Callithrix jacchus: one gene and its partner. The protein of the gene in region 2 interacts with the protein of the main gene of each other region in a pairwise test. Links are inferred from orthologs where the notes say so. Each region holds a gene or a part of one and is shown on either strand. Other genes may lie near its edges.

Region 1 (8,382 bases), on a different chromosome or scaffold from region 2:
CATGGATAGGAATATGAGGCCCAGAGAAGTGAAACCTAGCAAATAAGTGGCAGGGCTGAGACTAGATTCCAGGTCTCCTGGCTCCTATCAAGGTTGCTGTGCCCAGGGTGTACCCACAGAAAGGCATAGGTTGGGGTTGAGGGAGAAAGGGAGGCTGGCAGGTGCTCAGGGGTGTGACCCAATCAGCCTTAAGGAAGGGACACCTTTCTTTAATTAGTCTCCCCAGAAGAGGTACCTTGTTCTCATAGCCCTTCCTTGGGGAGATGGAACAGCATTTATCAATTAATCAGCCCTGAACACTTCTTTCTGCAATGTGTCCACCTGCAGGAGCACCTCTTCCTAATTTGCACAAAGGCACCTCATGTACCAGGGACAGCCTTGATCCCTGGGCTGCTCCTCTTCTCACTTGGCGTCAGGTCCTGGGGTCCAGGTCCAGCCCATGCTGAAATCCGAGGGGAGTGGGTAGATGGGCAGAAAGAACATTCGGGAGCTATAGGCAGGTGAATATGGTTTTATTCAGTGACCGCTCTCATCAGCAGCTTACTCGCACTAGCTCTCTCACGCGGTCTACCCTGTCTCAGCCGCTTGAGCCTGCGGCTCCCACACACAGCTGTGCAGCCGACTCTCCCTTGCCTTCAGGGTCAGCAGCTTAACTCTTTCTCTCTCTGGGCACAGGCAAGCTGAGCTGTGTCCTGGCTCCCTCCTGTCCATTTGCAAGATGGACAGCTTTGGCTCTCTCTCTGGGCACCAGCGCACCTGCCATGTCAAGCCATGTTGAGCCGAGCCGAGCTCCAAGAGCCCCCCTATCTAGTGTTAGCACAACAAGTATACCTTTTACAGACAACAGTGGCTCAGAGCCAAGTATGAATTTACACAAAAAGGTTATATAACAAGTAGAGGTGTGCACCCGTGCACCAAACCCAATGAGTCATGCAGGCCTGGATACCCATCTCCGCCTATTCCTTGACCAAAGCTCATCCATGTACCTTACTGAAGTAGGGCTGACAGATGAAATACAGGACAGCCAGCTAAATTTGAATTTCAGGTGAACCACAAATCATTGTGTAGGATAAGCATGTTCCATGCAATTCTGGGGACATACTTAGCCTTAAAAATTTATTTTATGTATCTAAAATTCAATGAACTGGGCAGTCTGTATTTTTATTTGCTAAATCTGCTGACCTTAGTCTAGAGGAAGTGTTGTATTCCAGCTGACTCAGATCACCTCATGAGAGTCAACTGTAAAATGTTTAGGAGATTTATGAGCAGGTCATTAAACCACTGGTCGCTTGAAACCAACCATTGTGGGAGCGTTTACACCACAGAAATCGGTGACTGCTATACCTGAGTGCTCTTCCTTTATGGAGTTGGTTATGAAACAGTCCCCAATATGCCACTGTCTAGAGGTTTCCTTGTCCTTAACATACTAGGCAGACTCTGAAACCACAGCCCTGGGGGCTCCACAGTCACACAGGAGTCAGATCACATCTAAGGTAGCTGTAAGCCTTAGTATATTAGAAAATGGAAAATTCCACTCCTGGGATACTAGAATGAGGAATGTTAGAAACTTAGAATTCTAAAACAAGGATGTTAGAATCTCAGAATTTCAGAAGATGGATTGTTAGTGTTGAAAGCAGGGGCTGTTAGTATCCATTCCTCACCCCTCTCTGGCATACAGATGGTCAAGGCCTCACAGCCTGGCCAGACCTCTGGCTGGCCCTCCTGGCTCAGGGCTTCTTGCAAGCCACAATGAAGCAGACTCCAGTGTTGGCAGCACTGGTGACAGAGTAGCTCCGGAGACTATATAGGAGCTGCTCGATGTCAAAGCCAGCATCCAGGACAGCGTGCTCCACCTCCTCCTTCTCCAGGGCCAAGCAGGAGAATTCACGCTTCCCCACCATGTAGGACGAGAGCCGAAGCGTGACCATGGTCACCAAGTGGCCGCCCGGCTTGAGCAGTGAGGCAAGGTTGCAAAGTGCAGCACGGTAGGCATCAAGGCTGCAGCAGGCACACTCCATGGCCAGAAGGGTGAGCAGGCAGTCAGCAGGGGGCAACACAGCTGGGGCCAGTGGGTTGCCCAGGTGGACATCACATTTGAGCACCCGCTTCACCACTGCTCGCAGCTTCTCCTCTTTCTCCTGCCATCGGCCACTGCAGAGAGAGAGGGAGGGAGTCGGGGAGGCACTTCAAGGTTCCAAAGGGAACCTTGACTAGTCCACTGCGACTAGCAGATGGAGATGATCTCTGAATCCCAAAAGGACTGCTGTCCCTGAGTCCCTGTGTGACCTGACAGCAGGCTCTTCTTCGATCTGATCCTCAGTTTCTTCCAAAGAAAACTGGTTACCAAGAGTGGACCAGAACAATTAAAGGAAATTTTCTCTCTCTGATTTCATGTGAGCCCCCTTCCCTTAATCCCCAGAAGGGTCAAAACCACCCCAAGCACAGATGGGTCAGTTAACAAACACTATTGGATGGATGGATGAATTAATGAATTTCTACAGAAAATACATGAATATAGCGATCTTAAAAATATAATGTTGAGTGATGAAAAGCAAATCCCAGATGACACAGGGCAAATTATTCTGCTACAAAGCTCAAAGGTGACTAAAACTAAATAATAGACTATTTAGATATACATAAGTATGCAAGAAAAAAATTGTTTGAAAAAGGGAATAAGTATAAAATTCATATTAGTGATTACCTCAGATGGCAAAAGGCAGGGGCAAGGAGTCACAGAGAAGCACAGGTAAGTCTTTATTATATCCGAGTACTCAGGTTGGGTGGTGGGTTCACATCATTATATGTCATATAGTCACACAGGTACAGACAATAGAGGGAAGAAGGAAGAATGGATGGGTGGGTGGATGGATTAATTTGCATGGACATGGATGGATAAATGGGTGGATGGATAGATGGATATGGATGGATGGAGATGGATGGATAGATGGATGGATGGATATGAATAAATGGATGGATGGATGGATGAATGGATGAATGGATGGGCAGGTAGATTGACAGATATGGATAGGTGGGTGGGTGGATGGATGATGGATGGAGATGGATGGATGAATGGACAAATGGATGGATGGGCGAATAGCTGCCTGGCTGGCTGGGTGAATGGATGGATTGGTGGGTGGGTGCATAGATGGATGGATATGGATGGATAGTTAGATATATACAAGATAGGTAGGTATATAGATTAGGGAAAGGAAGAAAGAGAAGAAGGAAGGAAGGGTTCTATCACCTGGTCTTCAGTGCTCATACTTGGCTATATCATACCTCAACATAGTCCTATGATCAGAGACTTGCCCCTGAAACTCCTGTAATCCTGAAACTTGGGGGCCCATCTACTCTGTCCCCACAGCAAGACCTCTGGTCATATACATGAAGGCCCTACTGTCCTGAAAATGTCAGAGACAACCAAGAGGCCAGACAGCCCTCTGAGAAAGAAGGTCTGGGAACCCCTCCCCAACCTCTGCACCCCTACCTGTTTCCTTCGAGCTCACAGGCAAATTTCACCACTGGGGTCCAGTCATAGGCCCCCGGCTCCTTCTTCAGCCATTTTTCCAGCTCCTCCCGGTTACGGTCGGTAAAGTCAGAGAGAGTGATGTCTTGGAAGGACTCACAGGCTGCGAGAACTTGGTAGATGGTAGGACCTGAGCCGATGTCAATCAGCGTGTCCCCTTGGAGGCCTCCTGTGGGAAGGAAAGACTGGTAAGGGATGGGTAAGAGAAATGAGACCCGAGACAGACACAGGGATGAGGACACACACCCTGGTCTTACCCAAGGGGCAAGCAGCACCAAGAATGGTCATTATCACAGATTGGTGGCTTCCTGTAGGCCAAGCCTCATGCTAAACATTTTATATGCATTTATTTCCATTTACACCTCAGAACTACCCTGTGTAGTAACTACTATCACTATTTTCATTTTATAAATTAGAAAACTGAGTCTGAAAAGGGTTAAACAATTTGCCCAATATCTTTCAGCCAAGAATATAAGCCAAGAGTATAATCTTTCTGGGACAGAGAAAAGAGACCCAAGCCCTGCTCTAGAGAAGATTCGGGCTGGAGAGATTAGAGAGGACATGCTGGGGGCAGTGGCCCTTTAAGTTTCAGGCTGACTGGGAGCTAGGAGCATCCCCGGGAAGTCCAGCCCTGCCTGGATGGGTTTCTCATTCCTTGGAGGTGGGAGGGGTGTAAGAGCACAGGAATAGGAAGCAGGAGGCTGAGAAGGAGACGATCTGGGAAGATGGCCTCAGGAGTAAATCCAGGGTCACCTGGAAGCTGGAACGAAGCATGATTTCCAACATTCTGTCTGGAGCCCTGGCGTGGGGCCATCACTTGGCCTTCCAGGCTTGATCACACCCAGTCTGGCTGTTCTCTGATTTCTGCCTCCCACACTGGCCTGCTCCTCTAGGCTCAGCAACATTTTAACCCTCCTTATCCCACAGACCACCAGGAGACTCACCCTTACTGTTACCCATTCAAGTGCCTGAAGTGAGGACATGGCTGCTTGAGCTTGGAAGACACACCAAATCATGGGGTCACCGTGGGGAGGGAAGAGATCACCAGGAGACAGGTAGAAGTCACCATCCATTGTACAGATGTCTCAGTTTAGGTCCTTGGGACCTGAGGGCTTTGCAGTCAGGTTTGTAATAGGGTTGAGACCCCATGTAACAATCCTTGTCCCAGGGCAGGGCTTTTCCAGGTCCTCATCACAGCCACATCTGGGCTGCACACTATAGGAATAGGCAATCCTGACCTAACCCACTACAGTCCTGCTGTTTGCCCCTGGCCTTCTGGGGGCCCCAGAGGGCTGGCTATGTAAGGGCAGGGCTGAACTTGATGATGACCTGGAAACCCTTTTCTGCTCCACCCCAAAGACCTAGGGGCTAATGGAGAACAGTGTGGGAACTGCATGGGCTGTGCTCTTCCCATGGATCCTGATCCCTCAGCTGGCACACAGCTCCTGAGCCATGGGGAAACAGACCCAACCTCCAGCATAGCAGCTACCCAAAGAGAGGGACAGGTCCCCAGCAGCTCCCCCAGCCCACCCCCAGCAACCTCTAGAGGAGACCAGACTGCCCCCAGGACCCCTTGTCCCCATCCGCATCCAGGTTTCTTGGAGAGAGGCTCAAGGGGAAAAGCCACCCTCTGCTCACCAGGGCCGAAGGTCTTGTGGAGACACTCCAAGTAAAACTTCAGCATCTCGATCTCAGGCAAGTGGCTGCCATCGACGCTATAGTAAGTGGCCAAGTAGTCCCTGGGCAGGAAGTGCTTCTGATACTCATCACCTCCCGTGAAGCCGCCCTCCATGGTGGCCCTGAAATATGCCCCCTCCTGCCTGTCCGGTCTTATGAGGGCTCCAAGCTCTCCAGGCTCCACCTCCAACATTCCAGCCTCATCCCATCACTCCTCCCATGTATGTCTCTCAAGCTTCTCCTTCTAGGAGGATACAGAAGGGAGTGCATCCCTCACCACCTCCCAGCCACACTGACACACCTGAGCTGGGGCTGCAGCCGCCCTGGCCCTGCTTTCTCTAGGGACCAACCCATGTCCATCAAAGGCAATTGATGGTGCCCAGCCCTGGGTGCAACTCTCAGTCCTGCCAGCCACATGCTGCTGTGTGGCCTCCAGCAGGTGTCAGACCCACGTTTCCCCACCTATGTGCCCACTTCACTGACTGTGAGAACCAAAGCCACTCCCCCAGTCACAGGTATTGTGACCTGAGTACATAGTGAGATCCCCAGCTTGTCCCCTGGTGGTCAGTGGCCCAGTGGCTCTCTCTAGGCCAGGCAGGCACAGTGAGATCCCCAGCTTGTCCCCTGGTGGTCAGTGGCCCAGTGGCTCTCTCTAGGCCAGGCAGGCACAGTGAGATCCCCAGCTTATGCCCTGGTGGTCAGTGGCCCAGTGGCTCTCTCTAGGCCAGGCAGGCACAGTGAGATCCCCAGCTTGTCCCCTGGTGGTCAGTGGCCCAGTGGCTCTCTCTAGGCCAGGCAGGCACAGTGAGATCCCCAGCTTATCCCCTGGTGGTCAGTGGCCCAGTGGCTCTCTCTAGGCCAGGCAGGCACAGTGAGATCCCCAGCTTGTCCCCTGGTGGTCAGTGGCCCAGTGGCTCTCTCTAGGCCAGGCAGGCACAGTGAGATCCCCAGCTTGTCCCCTGGTGGTCAGTGGCCCAGTGGCTCTCTCTAGGCCAGGCAGGCACAGTGAGATCCCCAGCTTGTCCCCTGGTGGTCAGTGGACCAGTGGCTCTCTCTAGGCCAGGCAGGCACAGTGAGATCCCCAGCTTGTCCCCCGGTGGTCAGTGGACCAGTGGCTCTCTCTAGGCCAGGCAGTAGGTACAGCTTCATACATCCCCCATCCCTCCTGGAGAACAGAGTTCAGACCCCAGGAGGCAGAGCAGAATAGCTGACTTGGCATCACTGTGCAGGCCACTGGGAGAAGAGCAGAAATTATCATCCATCTCCATGAATGAGAACAAGGGCGCCCGGTCATAAAGCATAAACTATCAGGGGGATCCTGACTTCTTGGCTGCTGACTCACCTGGTAAGTTCAGGTAAGATACTGCTGGCTTCAGTCTCCTTCTCTTAGAAATGGGGCTGGGTTGTAAAATCTCCCACAGACAGAGAAAAGCTCAGTCTCTGTTTTTTGCACTAGGAAATGGCTCTGACTTGGCCACAAACCAGATAGAAATGAATCTGCTACAGTGGAGGTTCAGGCCTCTTGCCCTGAAAGTGGGAAGGACAGGAATGCCTTGTTCTGGCTTTAAGTAAACAAATAATTCTGAATCCACAGGGCCCAAAAGACAGAGGATGCCACAGAGGCAGGAACATCCAGCAGTCATCTGGGGTCTGGCTTCCAAGGAGCAGGCGCCTGGGCAGCCTCCAGGGAGGCCTGCGGCCAACATGCTGGCCTGCAGAAGGCACTCAGAGCAGGCAGGAAACTGCAGTGCTCGCGTTACATAATTGGAGGAGTATGCAGTAAAGGCACAGTACTAACTAAGGTGTGGACAGGGTGGAAGGAAGCCACATGATACCTCTATTAGTCAGGGTTCTCCAGAGAAACAGAGCCCAGGATGTGTACACTTACACTGAGAGAAATCAAATCTATTTTCAGGAATTGGCTCGTGTAATCTTGGAGGCCAGTAAGTCCAAAATCTGAAAGCCAATGTTGCAGTTCAAGTCCAAAGACCAGCTGCTGCCAGAATTCCCTCTTGCTCAGGGAAGGCCAGTCTTGTTCTAATTGAGCCATCAGCTGATTGGATGAGGCCCACCCATATTATGGAGGGCAGTCTGCTTTACTCAAAGTCCACTGATTTAAATGTGAATCTCATCCAAAAGCACCCTCAAACAAACAGCCAGGATCATGACTGACCACCTGTCTAGGCACCAAGGCCTAGCCACGTTGAGTCACAGAAGGCACCATCACAGAACCTGAGGGCTCACAGCATGGAGGAGCCATCATCCCAGCAAGACTGAGAGAGAGACAGAGCTGTGTAGAGAGGGCCTCCTGCAGCAGCCAACAGCAAAGGGGCTGATATGGTTTGGTTGTATCCCCACCCAAATCTCATCTTGAATTGTACCTCCCACAGTTCCCATGGGTTGTGGGAGGGGCCAGGTAGGAATAATTGAACCGTGGGGGCAGGTCTTTCCCATGCTGTTCTCATGAGAGTGAATAAGTCTTGTGCTATCTGATGGTTTTCTAAGGGGGAGTTTCCCTGCACAAGCTCTCTTTTCACCTGTTGCCATCCATGTAAGACGTGACTTGCTCCTCCTTGCCTTCAGTCATGATTGTGAGGCCTCCCCAGCCATGTGGAACAGTGAGTCCATTAAACCTTCTTCCTGCATAAAGTACCCAGTCTTGGGTATGTCTTTATTAGCAGTATGAAAAACAACTAATACAGTAGCTGAAGAATAATCACCCAAACCTCCTTCTCTTACCTCCCTCCAATAACCTGCCAAATTTACAAGGAAGGGAGTGGTGACTATAGTCCACATGTTAGCCTCCTGGCACTTGAAGTAGCCTGGAGAGGATATAGAGCAGATAATGGAAGCACATGGAAGAAGCCCAGCATTAACACTGAAGGGGCTGAACCATAGACATGCATGTACTATCCAGGATTACAGAGCCCCTGCAGCAGGACGTGGGCAGCTAGGGGTCTGTACAGGGTTGGGAGAGACCATCCTTCCCAGAACTACACATCCTGCTGCAATTGGATGTCCTTGGATGGACAGAGGATGCCTTTCCTAATGCAAGGCCTCCAGTGCCTCCTGCTCCCCAGAGGAATGAATCCAAACTCCCCCTTGGCATTCAGAGCCTCTACCCTCTGGCTTCCACCTGCTTCTCCACCACTCAGGCCTTCTCCATCCCTACGTGCCTC
Region 2 (7,423 bases):
TGGAAGTCTGTATTGTGATGGGGGTGACACAAAGCAACTGCTGGTTTTCCTAGGTTAGATAACTAAGTAGCTTGTTGCCAGTGGTGGGAGCTTAAAAAAATTAACATGTTGGCCGAGTGCGGTGGCTCATACCTGTAATCCCAGCACTTTGGGAGGCCAAGGAGGGTGGATCATGAGGTCGAGAGATTGAGACCATCCAGGCCAACATAGTGAAACTCCATTTCTACTAAAAATACAAAAAATTAGCCAGGTGTGGCGATGCACACCTGTAGTCCTAGCTACTTGGGAGGCTGAGGCAGGAGAATCGCTTGTACCTGGGAGGCAGAGGTTGCAGTGAACCAAGATCACACCACTGCACTCCAGCCTAGCTACAGAACGAGACTCCGTCTCCAAAAAAAAAAATTTAAGATAACCCACCAAATTAGGGGTATCTCTGTGGATGTATGTGAGCACATGAAAGTGTGTATGATTGTGAAAAGAGTGAAAAAGGAGCTATTCAGTTTTATGTGTTGATTTTTCTGTAGAAGATTCAGTGGCTGCAGTGTATGAACTATTTGTGACATTGGTCTGAAACTAATTTGTCAGCACCAAAGACAGCATAAGAGCCATCAGTCCTTCAGCCTCTCCTGGATCTCTTTTTGAGATAGGAAGAGCCACATGTTTTATAGGCTGTGGTTTAATTAGCAGGCGCAATCCATCTGCCAAAGTTGGCAGGCATCTTTAGGGAAAATAACTTCCTCCTGTGGCTTCTCCTTCCTTCTGTTCTGGAAGCATCAGGATTGTTGCAGTTTTGCAGGCCTTCTGCATAGCTGTTAATATCACATGCCATCATTCAAAGCAAATGGAAAAAAGGCCTGGCATGACTGAAACCCTAAAATTGAAGTGGATGCTAAGTGAATTCAAGACATCTCTTCTTTACTCCTTTGGTTTTCAAGTAACTCCAAGCATGAGAGGGGCTAATGAATACGGCAAATCAGGTAAATATTTTACTGATGAGAATCTCCATAGTGTAAAGTGGCTGCCTCTTACCTGTGTCTAACAGAGAAATAGCAGAACTAGTTGGCAAACACACAAGATGAACAGGCTGACGACACAGGGGTCACAGCTGAACCCTAAGTATCTGCTAAAGGCAATGCTGGTTAACCACAAACTCTCAGCATTTGAGACTGTTAATTTTTAATATTTTCTTAAAAAAATACAAAGGAAATTAACTCTGTAGGTCAATACGATTCAGGGAAAAAGGGAAAAATGGAATTTCAGAGCAAAGGTTGTTTATCACATTCCCACACTCCCATAAAATTTCAATATCCATAAAACAAGAATTTCATTCCATGACATAGAGCAACATTAAATAATAGCTCAGAAATGTTGATAGCTGAGGTACTGAAACTGACAAAAGGATTTTGGTTGTCCTTGATTATTCTGTCCTGTGATGAATAAAATCTACACTAAAGGACAGACAAGGGAAACTTATAGCAGAAAAAAGACTAAATGTACCAAACACAGCAGTACAAACCACTCCTTGGCAGAAGTGTACTCCTAAAAGAATGGGCAGTAATCAGGTAGCTAAACTACTGGGCTACTGTCACTCCCAGCCCATCCCCAAATAAATAGTGTGGAAGTGTAACAGTGTAGTAGTATTTGATTCAACAAAGAAAGGCTTTCACCCCCATTCAAGGCAAACATTGCCATGGCTAGATGAGCCCTGGCAGGGAATAAGACCGTAGAATCACAGGTACTTCTAGTTTATCCCCAGTTATACTGAACTTGCACATTGATGCCATCTTCTCTCATCCCAACATTTGTTCACTGTTATGCTGCCTCCAGTGCTAAAATGTGTAACATTCTACTTCAGAAAGACCTTGGGGAAATAAAAAGATCCTTCAAATGATATACCCTTCTCAGTCTTCCAGATTATGTAATACTTCAGTGCTGTTCTAGGTTCACTCACAATCCATCAAATTCAGTTGATTCACTTATTCTAACTTAAATTCTGATATACCAACCATATCCCCCACAAGAAGTGTCCGATGAGTCTCTCTCCCTTGCCCCCAAAGTTTTATGGGGCTCTCCCTTCTGTTTCCTTCTAGAATGGAACTGTGTTGCCTCCAGCTACCTGTAGATTAGAAAAGGTATCTTTTCTTGGAAAAAAAAAAAAAAAGACTTGGATTTTACCAAGTTTACTTAAACTGGTACCTTTCCAATCATCTAGGCTGGATATTGCCCACATCTAGTAGGCTATACTCACCTTCGTTCTCTGCAACATATGAGGCACAACATACATATAGTACACTGAGCATGTGGTAAGTTAGAAACGAAAGGAAAGTGCTCCCCAAGGCAGTGGGAGAGGCGATCTGGTCTCTCACATCCATTCAATCTGCATTCTTTTCCCTGGAGTATCTGCTGGCCACCCTTCTCAGGAACAATAACCAGGACAAGGCGGAATATATGTCAAATAAGTACAATCATCACTGCACTGGTGCCTGTAATCACCCTGTTCATAGTGAGAAACAGACATTCTGGAAAGGATTCTTGATTCTCCCACTAACTGTCCACCAGACTGGTCACTAGTTCTGGATGGTGCTCCAACAATGGTCACTTCTCACGGAGAACACACACACCAGCATCACAGCGCTGGGTTCCCATGGATGTCACGACTTCCCAGCTGTCGATGATAGGGTCATAACATTCAATACTACTTAGCAGGGAATTACCATCATATCTGAGTGAGAAAGCAGCAAAAGAAAAAAATGAATCAGCTATGTGCAGTGGCACATGCCTTTAATCCCAACTATGAGGGAGGCTGAGGTAAGAGGACTGCTTAAGCCTAGGAGGGAATTTGAGACCAGCCTGGGCAAAATGGTAAGACCCTGTCTCAATTAAATTTAAAGAAAGAAATTAGCCTTCTATTCTTTTCCACACGAGTTCTTCCTTAAGGCTGCCACTGGAGGCCAGCATGGTGACTCACGCCTGTAATCCTAACACTTTGGGAGGCTGAGGTGGGAGGATTGCTTGAAATCAGCCTAGACAACATAAAAAACTAGCCTGGTACAGTGGCATGCACCCGTGGTCCCAGCTACTCTACTCAGACTCCAGCCTGGGTGACAGAGAAAGACTCTGTCTCTAAAAAAAAAAAAAAAATCTAATTTAAAAAAATCAAGTTGCTACTGGAGATGTCTACCCCTACCCAAATGTTGTCTCCATCCAAAAATAAGGATCAGATCACACAGACTGTTGCTCTGGTTACATACTGAGTCTGGAGTTGTTTAAATCCTCACCCTGCAATTGCATAAAGTCTCCCCCGAAGCACTGTGGCCCCTACATAGCATCGTGGAGTGGTCATACTGGTGACAGTTGTCCAGGAATCAGTGCGAATGTTGTATGCTTCAACGGAAGAAAGGTGGGCTGTACCATCAAATCCCCCCACCACATAAATATGGTCATTCAGCAGTGCTACTCCTGCACCTGGGGAAAATGAAGGCATTAGCAAATGAATGGTACTAAGCCTAGAATCTGAGTTATAGAAATAAACTATGGTCACTAATGGCTAGCTGAGTTCTAGAGTAGATAAGAGATATGGACTGGACCTAGACAAGGCTAGGATAATCTAGTCCAGCACAAGTTATTCCATCTATAAACCCTTTGGCTTGGATTTGAAATGATAAAAGATAAATAGAAATTTATCTTTTCTTCTTTACTCTCATTAACTCAGAGCCCCACCCTTCTCAGAAAAGGAGGAAGTGAAAGAAAGGCAGCAATAAAGGTAGATGGAGGGAAAGGAACTGTGATTATGGTTCTGAAGCGATTTTTACTCAGAATATGTAAACTAGAACAGCACAGTGTTTTCTCCTTTTCTACATCTCAGCCTACTCCACTTCAAAAAGCTCTCGTGAAGGTAAGGTGCTACTCTTTTGTTCTTATACATTAGAGACGTTATTTAACAAACATTTATTTAACATGTGCTACACAGACAAAATTGTAGCATTCTAAAACGTAGGGAGAGAACAAAGACATGAAGGCTTTTGCTTTCAAATTTATAATCTAGTTTTAAATATAAACTGTCTTTATCCTAATATTTAGAGAAAGCAGAGACGAGGAGCAGAATCTCATTTTTACATTCATCTACAGTTTGTCCCATGCATCACTACTATATATGTAAAGGTCTGACAGCACTGCCTATTGTCTCCTCCCTCAGATCTGATCTTACCGGAACGCTTGGTGGCCATTGGTGTAACAGTAGTCCAATGTCCTGTATGAGGGTCGTATTTCTCAACTGAATTTAAGATATTCAAGCCATCATATCCTCCTGGAAGACAGAGACCACTGCAGGATGAGTGGTAAATCCTCATGCCTATTCCTGGTCAGCCTTTTTCCGAGTGCTTCAACTAATTATTTTAGTTTTAACTTCCCACTAGAGTCCCAATAACTCTAACAGAAATCTGATAGTATCCTACTTTCTGCTTATAAGAAAATGATAATCCCAATTAATGGAAAATACATTGACACAACAGGGTTTTAGTTGAAGGGAAGTCTATGAACTTCATTCTGCTAAAAAGGAACCCTTACCCACAATCTACTACCCATTGAGTTCTCTCCCATTCCTGCATCGCAGACTCAGGATACCTAGACAGTAGATCACTCCGCTGGCCACTACGAGCCCGGCACCTTCCCGGGCTGTCTGCATATCTCCCAGCATACTCCACTGGTCAATATTTGGATCATAGCGCTCCATACTGGTGTGACGCCTGCTTCCATCAAAGCCTCCAGAGACGTAGATCATATCTGCTCAGAATAAACAAATTACAGACTATTAGAGAATGAGAGATTTCTAGAACTCTTTCCTCTACAAAATTTTCAAGTGTCTTTTAAAAGTCTGAAAGCAAAAACAAAGTATTTTTTAATGAGATAAGTCAATTAAGTTTTACAGACAAGAAAGACATCTAAAAAGAATGGGGTAAATTAAAATCCTCAGAAGCATTCAAAAACCACTTGGGAATTTTCAAAAAATACAACCAGTGCCAGTTCCCCACCCAGCACATTAGAACTTGATTTGCGAACTTTATAGTCAGTACTGAAACATCCATGAAGGTTGAACAGCTTCTATTACACTGATATGTCTGAAAGCAAAAAGAGTATTTGTCGGCTGGGCGCAGCGGCTCACACCTGTAATCTCAGCACCTTGGGAGGCCAAGGCGGGTGAGTCACTTGAGCTCAGGGGTTAGAGATTAGCCTGGGCAACAAGGCGAAACCCTGTCTCTACTAAAAATACATAAAAATAGCTGGGCATGATGGTGCACACCTGTAGTTCCAGCTATTCGGGAAGCTGAGGTGGGAGGATCGCTTGAGCTTGGGGAGGTTGAGGCTGTAGTGAGCCGTGGTCACGCCACTGCACTCCAGCCTGGGCAACAGAGAGAGACCCTGTCTCAAATAATAATAATATTTGACCTCATTTTTTTTCTCCATATTTCATGCTCCTGCCAGAAAACATGAGAGGTTAAAAACCTGGTCCAGCCACAGTAAGATGGAAATATTGCCCTGCTTATCAAGCCTACCTCCCAGGGTGGTGGCTCCAGCAAGACCTCGTCGGACATTCATAGGGGCCACAGAATACCAGACCCCATCCTCATCTGCTGTGTAGTCTAGACATTCCACTGAACTAAGGCGGGAACGGCCATCATAGCCACCAATGACGTAGATCCGGTCATGTAGGGACACTGAGGCCACATAACGTCTCTTACGAGTGATGCTCTATGGATTTGGAGAGAAGAGGTACAGAGCATTTCAGTTAGGTAAGTTTCGGGCCTTTCCTTTTGCTATCTTCCCTGTTGTATCTACACACCTCTGTGCTGCTTCACCTGTCATCATGAACCCTCCTTGAGTGGTTCATCCTCAAGTGGCTCCACCCATGGCTGCCTACTGAAGGAAATGCTTGTTGTGGGTCTCTTAAAGATGTAAGCTTTCTGCACATCTGCCTCTTTCCAAGGTTTCCAAAAGATTTAACAGCTTTCTGTTATCCAGTATCTGACTCCTTTCTTTTCCATAAGGCACTGGGCTAAGAGACTGATATTCTTCCATACAGTGGAAAAGTGTTCCCACATTGCTAATCAAAGGGCCAGGATTTATTATAAAAACCTTAAAAGGTAGGAGGATTGGATTTCCATGTTTTCTCAGAAATTACTATTGTTCATTCAGCACTGAGAGACATGCTGAGGGAGACAGATACAAACTTTTTTTTTCTGAGTTGGGATCTCACTCTGTCACCCAGGTTGGAGTGCGTGGCACAGTCACAGCTCACTGCAACCTTGACTGCTGGGCTCAAGCAATCTTCTATCACAACCTCCCAAGCAGCTAGGACTACAGGCATGCACCACCTGGCTAATTTTTTTGTTTACTTTTTTGCAGAAACAGAGTTCCACCATACTGCCCAGGCTGGTCTTGAACTCCTGGCCTCAAGAGATCGTCCCATCTCAGCCTCCCAAAGTGCTGGGATTATAGGTGTGAGCTACCACGCTCTGTCCAAACTTCTGAGCTCAATTGAACACTGGGTTCAATTCAACACAATTTAACATTGGGTTTACTTTAACAAAACATGACCAATGAAATGTGCTGGGAATTATAAAGACAGCTTAGAAAAGCACCTAACTAGTGGTGGCCATCTGATTTAACCTGACACAGGGCCACTAACATTTCTAAGGTATAATCTTCTAATCTAAACAGTAAAAAAACTGTTTACTGAGTACCTACTATGTGCACAAGACTGCTGTAAGAAACAACCTGTTATTAGGCTTTTCTACTCTTACAGTTGGATTAGCTATGCTCTGGAGCCAGAGACTGAGGAATTTAAGCTCCCTCCCAACAAATGGTTTCACCATTATTTACCGGCAAAAAGCTCCACTCCTGAGTCTTGGGGTCATATTTCTCTACCACGTCGATAGGAGACTGCTGGCTTCCGAAACCCCCAACCACCAAAAGCACTTCATTGGCTCCTGAAGACAAGGTAGTGAAAAGATAGGTTAGTTCAGCATCCCTGGATAGATAACTAGTCACAGGGAAGTGTAAACAGAAAGAGTTCTAGGATGTCTTGTTTTATGTAGCTGAGGGATACAATCTGAAATAGGAGATAATCAAGAGGCTGTTGAATGGGGAGTTATTTCTCCTTGAGGCTGTAGCTCTTGAGTCTCTGAAACTTAAATTTCTGTACAACATTAAAACTCTAGAAGGCAAACTTCAACATGACACTGTACCATTTCAACCCAGTTAGATGACTGACTGACATAATATTTGAGGTCTTAAGTGCAGGTGAGAGGCTAAAGGCACTCTCTGCACTTCTCAGCCTGACAAACTCAAATTGGGAGGGTTTTTTTTTTTTTTAATTTTCTCTTGCTGCAGAATATTAGGTTTTTTGTTGTTGTAATGTAGTAAG

What was found. The genes of interacting proteins can lie anywhere in the genome.
Region 1: the proteins of KLHL12 (region 2) and INMT interact in binary tests that used the Homo sapiens proteins (3 or more experiments, as listed by UniProt). The two-hybrid records come from large-scale screens. The link is inferred for Callithrix jacchus from reciprocal best matches to the Homo sapiens genes KLHL12 and INMT.

What each region holds. Positions count from the first base shown.
Region 1 is NC_133512.1:27,504,731-27,513,112, forward strand, and holds INMT (indolethylamine N-methyltransferase), read right to left. Parts: upstream 5,335-8,382; 5' UTR 5,319-5,334; coding exon 5,165-5,318; intron 3,696-5,164; coding exon 3,488-3,695; intron 2,152-3,487; coding exon 1,728-2,151; 3' UTR 492-1,727; downstream 1-491. UniProt on the Homo sapiens protein: Functions as a thioether S-methyltransferase and is active with a variety of thioethers and the corresponding selenium and tellurium compounds, including 3-methylthiopropionaldehyde, dimethyl selenide, dimethyl telluride, 2-methylthioethylamine, 2-methylthioethanol, methyl-n-propyl sulfide and diethyl sulfide.
Region 2 is NC_133520.1:29,930,263-29,937,685, forward strand, and holds the end of KLHL12 (kelch-like protein 12), read right to left. Parts: intron 6,987-7,423; coding exon 6,880-6,986; intron 5,749-6,879; coding exon 5,553-5,748; exon of another isoform or gene 5,482-5,552; intron 4,783-5,481; coding exon 4,624-4,782; intron 4,338-4,623; exon of another isoform or gene 4,307-4,337; coding exon 4,208-4,306; exon of another isoform or gene 4,196-4,207; intron 3,896-4,195; exon of another isoform or gene 3,713-3,895; intron 3,466-3,712; coding exon 3,279-3,465; intron 2,723-3,278; coding exon 2,596-2,722; 3' UTR 1,160-2,595; downstream 1-1,159. UniProt on the Homo sapiens protein: Substrate-specific adapter of a BCR (BTB-CUL3-RBX1) E3 ubiquitin ligase complex that acts as a negative regulator of Wnt signaling pathway and ER-Golgi transport.